2 linked regions of the Nothobranchius furzeri genome follow. The protein of the gene in region 2 interacts with the protein of the main gene of each other region in a pairwise test. Links are inferred from orthologs where the notes say so. Each region holds a gene or a part of one and is shown on either strand. Other genes may lie near its edges.

Region 1 (4,313 bases), about 23 Mb from region 2:
GTCTGGGAGCAGTGAACTCTTCTGCAGCTCTGGATCCAAACCCAGCCAGGCCCTCCACGCTGTGACATGGCTCCACCTGCATCGCCTCATTTTAACAGCCTCTGCTGCGCGGCGGACCGGTTCTCTAGATGGATGGAGGCTGTTATAAAAAGAGGAAGCTATTTCAAACAATCAATAAAATGTGAATCTCTGATTAAATGTCGGATGCACAGAGATGTGGGATAGGCCGCAGATGGATGTTTAGTGTGTGTGCTGATACCAACCTCGTTAATGTGTGTGATTGTATTTTTAATAGGCTGCCATGGTGACAGACTGTAGATGAAACAGCCAATGCCCAGTCAGCTGGTTTACTGGCTGCATTTCCTGTTTCTGCCCACTTAAGAAGCACTTGGGAATTTAACATATGGCCTCTATGAGAGCGTTTCGTAGCCTGATTAGGATTTTTGTTTGTGTAAATCAGATTTTCATGTTGGTGTGTTGATCTGTGTTTAGAAAATCATGATCTGTGCCGTCCTGACGGCAGTTTCCAACCATCACATCTGTCAGGATCTGTGTAAGGCAGACGACAGAGATTTTAAAAGGTGAAAATCAAATAAAATATTTATTGTCTTCGTCTTTCCAACTGTTTCAGATTTTCCACTTTTTCTGGTTTATTTGACTAATAAATTAGTAAAGAGTGAATATACACATTCTGTTTTAATATTCCTTTTTGTGTTTTTGATAAGTCATGTTTTTTTTTTCGTTTTCATTGGGAGTTATACCAACATGTAATTCCCCTCCATCAATGGTGAAGATGACCACTATTAGGGAAAGTCCGTTGGCGCCACAGTTCCTTAGAACACCAAAAACAGAAGTGCATGGGATGGCACACTTCAGTGAAAATATACCAAAAAACATTTAAAAATATCACGTGGTGTGGTCTGACCTTTGGGGAAAATAGTCCCCCCCCCCCTTTTTTTTTTAAACTAGCATAAGCTGATGTTGATTTCAGAAAGTGAGTGTAGGAGGAGTGTGTGTGCTGGGGGGGGGGGGGGGGGGGGGGGCTAAGGAGGCTGTAATGAACTGCTCATATGACGCGTTTGTCACTGGAAAATTACAAACACTTTCTAGCCCACACACATTATGTTTTAGTTCTGTTTTACATTAAGATAATATTCAAATAAAAACAAAAGTATTCACTCTTTTCAAGTTTATCTTGACTATTTAAAGAGAAAATATTTTTTAATCTAACATTTTATGTGTTTATGATTATTTTATCTGACTTGTTGTGAATTGCCCTTGGGTGTCTTGAAAGGCGCTTTTATAAATAAAACGTGTTATTATTTAACTGTAATTTTCTTTCATTACAAACTGTTTAGTTTTAACCTTCTGATGATACAGGAAGACCATTTAGTGCTCTGGATGAACCTTGGCTGGTGGGACAGCGCGCGCGCCCATCAGTGCGCCAGGAGCGCGCTCACGGCATTTAAAGCTGTTGGTACTTTGCGTCACGACGCGTTTGTCACTGGCGGGAGTTGAGTTTATAATCGAGGCACGGAGTCAAAACACGCATTTCTTCACACTCCGACCCGCCGAACACACAACCATTCAAGGCGAACGCGACAATGGCGTCTGTGAGCGTGGTGGGCCAGCAGCCCGGTCCGCACAGGCTGGACTCGGAACCGCCGGTGCTGCTCTTCAAACTCTCCGGCACCAAGACGAAAATCACCCTGCCGAGGAAGTCGTCCTGGGAGAAGATGATGTTCACCAGGAGCGGCGATGACCTGGAGCCGGTTAGGACCGAGGAGGCTCCTGGACCAGCCGGAGGAAGAGGGAAGAGAATGCCCAGGGAGGGATGCGGGGCCCCGGTTGCCTTTGATGCGCCACGTAGCCCGCACCCGGAGGACAGCGGCGGCGGCAGGTCACAGAATGGGCACGTCGATGGCTACAGCCACAAATATGACTCAAGTCGGCGGGGGGGCTCTCTGAAGGAGAACGCCATACTGACTCCAAGCGGGAACAAACGGTCACTCCGGCACCGGGACTCTCTGAGACGGAGCTGTCGGAGTGGACACACCGGTCACCAGAGCGTCTCCTCCGATGTGGTTTCCCCCCCGGAGAGCGGCGGTCTGCCGCTGGAGCGGCTCACACAGAGCAGGACAGGGATCGTGAAGCTGGCCCGGACCGAACCTCACCGCACCGAGGCCTGGTCCATCTTTCCGCAAGAGATGGATCCACGTGTGAGGACTGAAAGGGGCGAGGGTCACCGCTTCGAGAGCCAGCCGGTGAACCAGGACTGGTGTGATGTCTGCAGCCGGGAGATCAGCGCGCAGGTGGTCAAGTGTCAGAGTGAGTCAGGCTGAGAGAAAACTCCTCCAGAACATGCATTAGTGTACGGTTCTGATTCATTTAGTATATGAACACACACACACACACACACACACACACACACACACACACACACACACACACACACACACACACACACACACACACACACACACTAAAATGGGGACTTTGAGAGCGAGCCAGTGCTGCAGAAGGACATTTCTAATCGCTTTGTCCACGGATCCAGCCATATAAGCCCGTTATATCGCTCTTTCGACTTTGCCTCACAGACTTAACACGCAAGTAAAGTAGAAAAGATGGTGAATTTATGATGCTGCAGTGGTGAAACGCTGCAAGGACCTGCAGGTAACAGAGAAAAAGAGTCCCGATGTATCTGAGATGTGTGATTTGGCCATTAAGTGACTAAATTAGGCTTTTATTTTGTCAATCAAGACAAAAAAAACTTTAAATTTTATTTAGAAAAAGTCAGGAAACTCCAATCAAATGTAGACACAGATGTTGGTGTTGATCACCCCTAAAGAAGCCCACTCAGAGTGAGGGAAACCCCTGATTTCATGAGTCAGTCTTTCAGGGTTGTTCTCCTCCCACCTGCATTGGTGTTTACAGCTTTAATTTGTGTTGACATGTACACACACACACACACACACAGACGACCTGAAGAGCCTTTGTGGGTTTATTTGTGCACATACTGTACATCCAGTGTGTGTGTGAGTGTGTGTTCATGCTGAGCTAGCATTGTGTCAGCAGCACTCTGTCATGAGGAGGGTGGGATGAACCAAAGGACTGAAGGCGATGAAAGGAGTGAGGAGGGAAAGGGGAACTGATAAGGAATGGGAACACTTAAAGGATAATCCCTTTCAATCCCTCAACTGGGACACTTTCATCGGAGAATAGATGACACGTAGCTTGGTTTGATGTAAAACTGCAGGCAGGCTGAGAGAAAGATCTAATGTGAACAAAGGAGTTGGTCCGGCTCTGCAGAGCTGTCTGATTTAGTGTGCTGTTGGCGAGAGCTCGCTGGAGCGAGATTACTGAAGCAATAATCCCTCCACACACACACACACACACACACACACACACACACACACACACACACATACACACACACACACACACACACACACACACACAGGTTTTCACAACCCTAGAACTTCACTTGTGTTTTCCTTTCTCTTTCTCTCTCTCTCTCTCTCTCTCTCTCTCTCTCTCTCTCTCTCTCTCTCTCTCTCTCTCTCTCTCTCTCTCTCTCTCTCTCTCTCTCTCTCTAGCTTCTCTTTTTCTGGCCTGCAGCCTGGACGCTTCTCCTCTCTTTCCTCTAAGCATCCCTGGTGAACCTCGTGCACGGTCACGAGGGTAAACCACACAGTACACAGTGAGGCATTTTAAGGTATTTTAGGGGAAAAGAGAAACAAGCGAAACTGCCGAAATAGAAGAACACGTTATCGTCTCTCAACTACACCCTGGAAATGACAGGGAATATGAGACGGAAACAAATGAGCGTCTTTTTGTTTTGTTGCTTTGCTGCATTTCCTCTCATTTATTGCCCTCTCTCAGCCTGCTGCGCCTTTGTTGCGTAGGAATCCTGTAGAAACGGCGACGCAGCAGCTTGTCCCTCTGGGACTGTTGTGGCCTTGCCCTGCAGAGGAATCTGTCAGTCAGCTCCCAGTCTCGTCGTCCTCTGGCTTTCAACTACATCTGTGGGTTTCTTTTTTCTCTCTCATTTAGTTTCTGTCTTTATTCCTCTTCTTGGCAGCTAAATCATAGAGTCATGTGATAAAACATCCCAACTCAGCATGTACAAAGACGCTGCAGGAATATCTGAGCCATGTGTAGAGTCAGACTGTTACTGGGCAATAATCTTGTTCTGTTTTGCTGATTTAATAGGGGATGATATGAAAACACACACGTCACGGAGGGGAGCTTCTTAATCCCAGCTCTGAGTGTCTCCTGTCTGGGATTACATCCCAGCAGTGGAGTAATTGGGA
Region 2 (3,571 bases):
CCCGTGTCCGCACGTTCAATCATAGTACCGCTAAGTGAACCTGCTAAAGAACCAGCAGCCCGGATCGTTCCGGACTCACTTGGTGCCCGAACCATCGTCCCCTGGTCGACCTCATCTTCATCCTGACAGACGCAAAGATGGGAGAAGATTTTAGCTGAGTTAGCACTCCTATCTCTTGAGCTTGAATGACTGATTGTAATCTGGAAGTAAAACATTTGATTTATTCTCTATAGATTGGATCAGACTCTTATGTCTGTACCGAATTCTCTTCTTCATCTTGTTCTCGTTGTTCTGCCTCCTCTTGTATTTTCAGTTTTATCTCTATGGCGTCCTGGATCAAAGCTCGCAGGATGGAGTTGGGCTTTGCTGATTTGATAAAAGGATGCTGCAGGTGGGAAAAAACAAAAGTGGCTCTGAAATTTCTAATGTCTGATGCCTTTAAAATGCAGTCGTAACCAAAAGAAATGTCCGTTAGAGATAGGTAGCAGAAAGTGTAATAATGTTTTCCAGCCCAACACCGACTGCTTATTCCCAGTTTTTATTTGTTACCTGTAACAACTGAGTGGCTGTCGCTCTGTTTTCTGGGTTTTTCACCAAACATTGGCTGATAAAGTCTTGAAAGTTTGCCGACCACAGATCTGGGCTTCGAAACGTTGGAGGAGGGTTGGTGGGAATCATGAAGATCGCCTTTAGAAACAAATGAAACAAAAACATTTCATTAACCGACTGACTTGTGTGAGCTCAGACAAACCCACTGCCCCTTCCTCACCCTCATCGGGTGTATGTCGGCGTAAGGCGGCTTGCCTTCAGCCATCTCGATCCCGGTTATTCCCAGGGACCAGATATCAGCCACGCAGTTGTAGCCAATTTCCTGTATGACCTCCGGAGCCATCCAGAATGGTGTGCCGATGACGGTGTTTCTCTTTGCCATGGTGTCCTGAGAAGGTCAAGAAAAAATCCAAGGGAACAAACGCAGCTGGTAACGTTTTCAATTCAGCTCCAGAGAAGATTTTTTAACGTCAGATGCATTATATTTGTATTAGTGTAAGAAGCGACAACAGATTCCACTTTCTCCCTTTAAAAAATAGCATTTTAACACAGAGTTTAAACTCAGAGGTTCTTCTTACTGTGAGCTGTCCAGCAACCCCAAAATCAGCCAGTTTAGCTTGACCTTCAGTGTTCAGCAGGATGTTGCCTGCCTTGATGTCTCTGTGGATCTTCCTCATGAAGTGGAGGTACTCCAAACCCTTCAGGGTCGACTGTAGGACGGTGGCGATCTCCTCCTCTGTCAGCTATAAAGCCAAAACACAAACATGTGGTTATTATGGGATGTGACCCACAGCAACAACCTATAACACTCAACCTTGGTGCATACAGACAACAAAAACAGCTTCAGTTCATATTTCACTTTTAGTGAGAAAGAAAGAAACAAAATGGGTGTTTCGGCTCTGTTGTCTCCTGTGGTTTTGATGTTTCGGCCGAAAGCCGAAAATTTCAGTGGCTGAATTTTCGGTGCATCCCAAGTTTATTTGGATGTTAAAATTGTGAAAACTACCTTTGTTATTGTCACAAATCAGTGCCAAGTCTGGATTTAAACCATAAAATACAAAAACAACAGCAAAACATTAGAAATGGCTGAGCAAACTGGTGAAAGTCAGATTTACATGCTGATTCTTCCCCGTGCATTATGGGTAAAGCATCAGCCTTTCCCTCTTTGACACCTGACACAGTCTGCTGCACAAACACATGCAGGTGAGTGTGTGTGTGAGTGTTAAGTTACCGTCTTGTTACGTATTCGGATGATGTCAGACACAGATCCTCCGCCACAATATTCCATGACGATCCACAGGTCGCTGTTTTTGAAATAGCTGCCATAATACCTGACCACATGAGGACTGAACAGAGACAGGAGTCTAATCACAAGGATCATTTTGTTTGTTTATTTATACAAACTTGTTTCATGATGTTCCAACAGGTTTACCAAATACAAGCTCCTGAAATAACTGACTGATAATCTTATTCATTGGTAACTGGCCTGTATTTGATAACATTTAGATTTTTGTTTTGAACCTCCTGAGACCATTCTTGCCCTTTAAAACTTTGTTCTCTTCAAATTAGATCTTTTTTTGTTATTATTTAGAGAAACTTGCCTATCAGGAACTGCTCTGGAATGGTTCTCCTCTTATCTATCTGAGGGATCCTTCTCTGTGGCCGTCTCCAAGTTTAGGTCCTCCACCAACTCCCTCACCCATGATGTCCCACAAGGTTCTGCGCTGGGGCCTCTGCTCTTTCTCCTCTATCTGCTTCCTCTTCAGCACATCCTGAGCTCCTTTAAAGGAATCGCCTACAATCGTTATGCAGATGACATCCAACTGTACATCTCCTTTAAACCCCATGAGATGTCTAAGCTGCAGCTGTTACACATCTGCTTAGACTATCAAAACCTGGATGGTGGGAACTTTCTACAGCTAAATGAAAGGAGGGCAGAGATCCTCATCTGTGCCCCAGACAAGCTGGTTCCCAAAGTCAGAGACTCTCTTGGTCAGCTTGCTTCTCACACCAAACCCTGTCAGGAATCTTGGTGTGACCTTTGACCCAGCTCTCACCCTGGATTCTCATGTCAGTTCTCTTGTTCGCTCTTCCTTCTTCCATCTCAGGAACATTGCTAAGCTGAGTCCCATCCTGCCCCACACTGAACTTGAGACAGTTATCCACACCTTCATCTCCTCACGCTTAGACTACTGTAACTCTCTTTTCACGTGTCTGAGCAGAACCTCCCTGAACCGGCTACAGGTGGTTCAGAATGCCTGTGCTCGGCTTCTGACCAAGTCCTCCAAACACACCCACATCACCCCGCTTCTCCTCCAGCTTCACTGGCTGCCAGTCAACTTCAGGGTTCATTTCAAGATCCTGGTTCTGGTCTATAGGGCCTTACATGGACAAGCACCATCATACATTGGTGATCTTCTCAGTCCCTACACCCCCAGCAGGTCCCTGAGGTCCAGTGACCAAAGCCTACTGGTTGTGCAGCACCAGGCTAAAGACCAAAGGTGACAGATCATCTCCTGCTGTGGCCCAAAGACTCTGGAGCTCTCTCCTCCTGAGCCTGAGATCAGTGGACTCAGTGGTCTCCTTTACACTCACCTGTTCAGGCTTTGGTGGGACCTTCTATTGATTCTTCATCACTACCTTCTTTTCATGCTGCTATTTCTACCAATTCTGCCTTTCTCAGGATCCTGCATTACCTTTTTCTTGTCCACTTTTGCCTTCCTTATTTAATATTTTGTTCACGTTTATGAGTCACGTTTGTTACTAATATGTAATCGCTAGTAGGGATGTGAATCTTAGAACAACTCACGGTTTGATTCGATTCCGATTCTTGGGGTGCTGATTCGATTCAAAATCGATTCTTGATTTAAATCAATTCACAATCAGTATTAACAAAGAGTGTCAGCTCCAGGATTAACTACTTTGTTGTACAAGTTAGTTAAAGCTATGGGACATTTTTATCTGACTTTAAACTGGTCATGCTCCAAAAATGCAAATTTACAATGTAAACTAAAGTGATTCT

What was found. The genes of interacting proteins can lie anywhere in the genome.
Region 1: the proteins of serine/threonine-protein kinase 4 (region 2) and rassf5 interact in binary tests that used the Homo sapiens proteins (3 or more experiments, as listed by UniProt). The link is inferred for Nothobranchius furzeri from reciprocal best matches to the Homo sapiens genes STK4 and RASSF5.

The regions. Positions count from the first base shown.
Region 1 is NC_091743.1:51,065,641-51,069,953, reverse strand, and holds the start of rassf5 (ras association domain-containing protein 5), read left to right. Parts: upstream 1-1,475; 5' UTR 1,476-1,604; coding exon 1,605-2,328; intron 2,329-4,313. Other genes in the region: ikbke (inhibitor of nuclear factor kappa-B kinase subunit epsilon), read left to right, coding at 1-65. UniProt on the Homo sapiens protein: Potential tumor suppressor. Seems to be involved in lymphocyte adhesion by linking RAP1A activation upon T-cell receptor or chemokine stimulation to integrin activation.
Region 2 is NC_091743.1:73,684,661-73,688,231, reverse strand, and holds part of serine/threonine-protein kinase 4, read right to left. Parts: intron 1,896-3,571; coding exon 1,781-1,895; intron 1,293-1,780; coding exon 1,128-1,292; intron 938-1,127; coding exon 770-937; intron 688-769; coding exon 550-687; intron 386-549; coding exon 260-385; intron 123-259; coding exon 1-122. UniProt on the Homo sapiens protein: Stress-activated, pro-apoptotic kinase which, following caspase-cleavage, enters the nucleus and induces chromatin condensation followed by internucleosomal DNA fragmentation.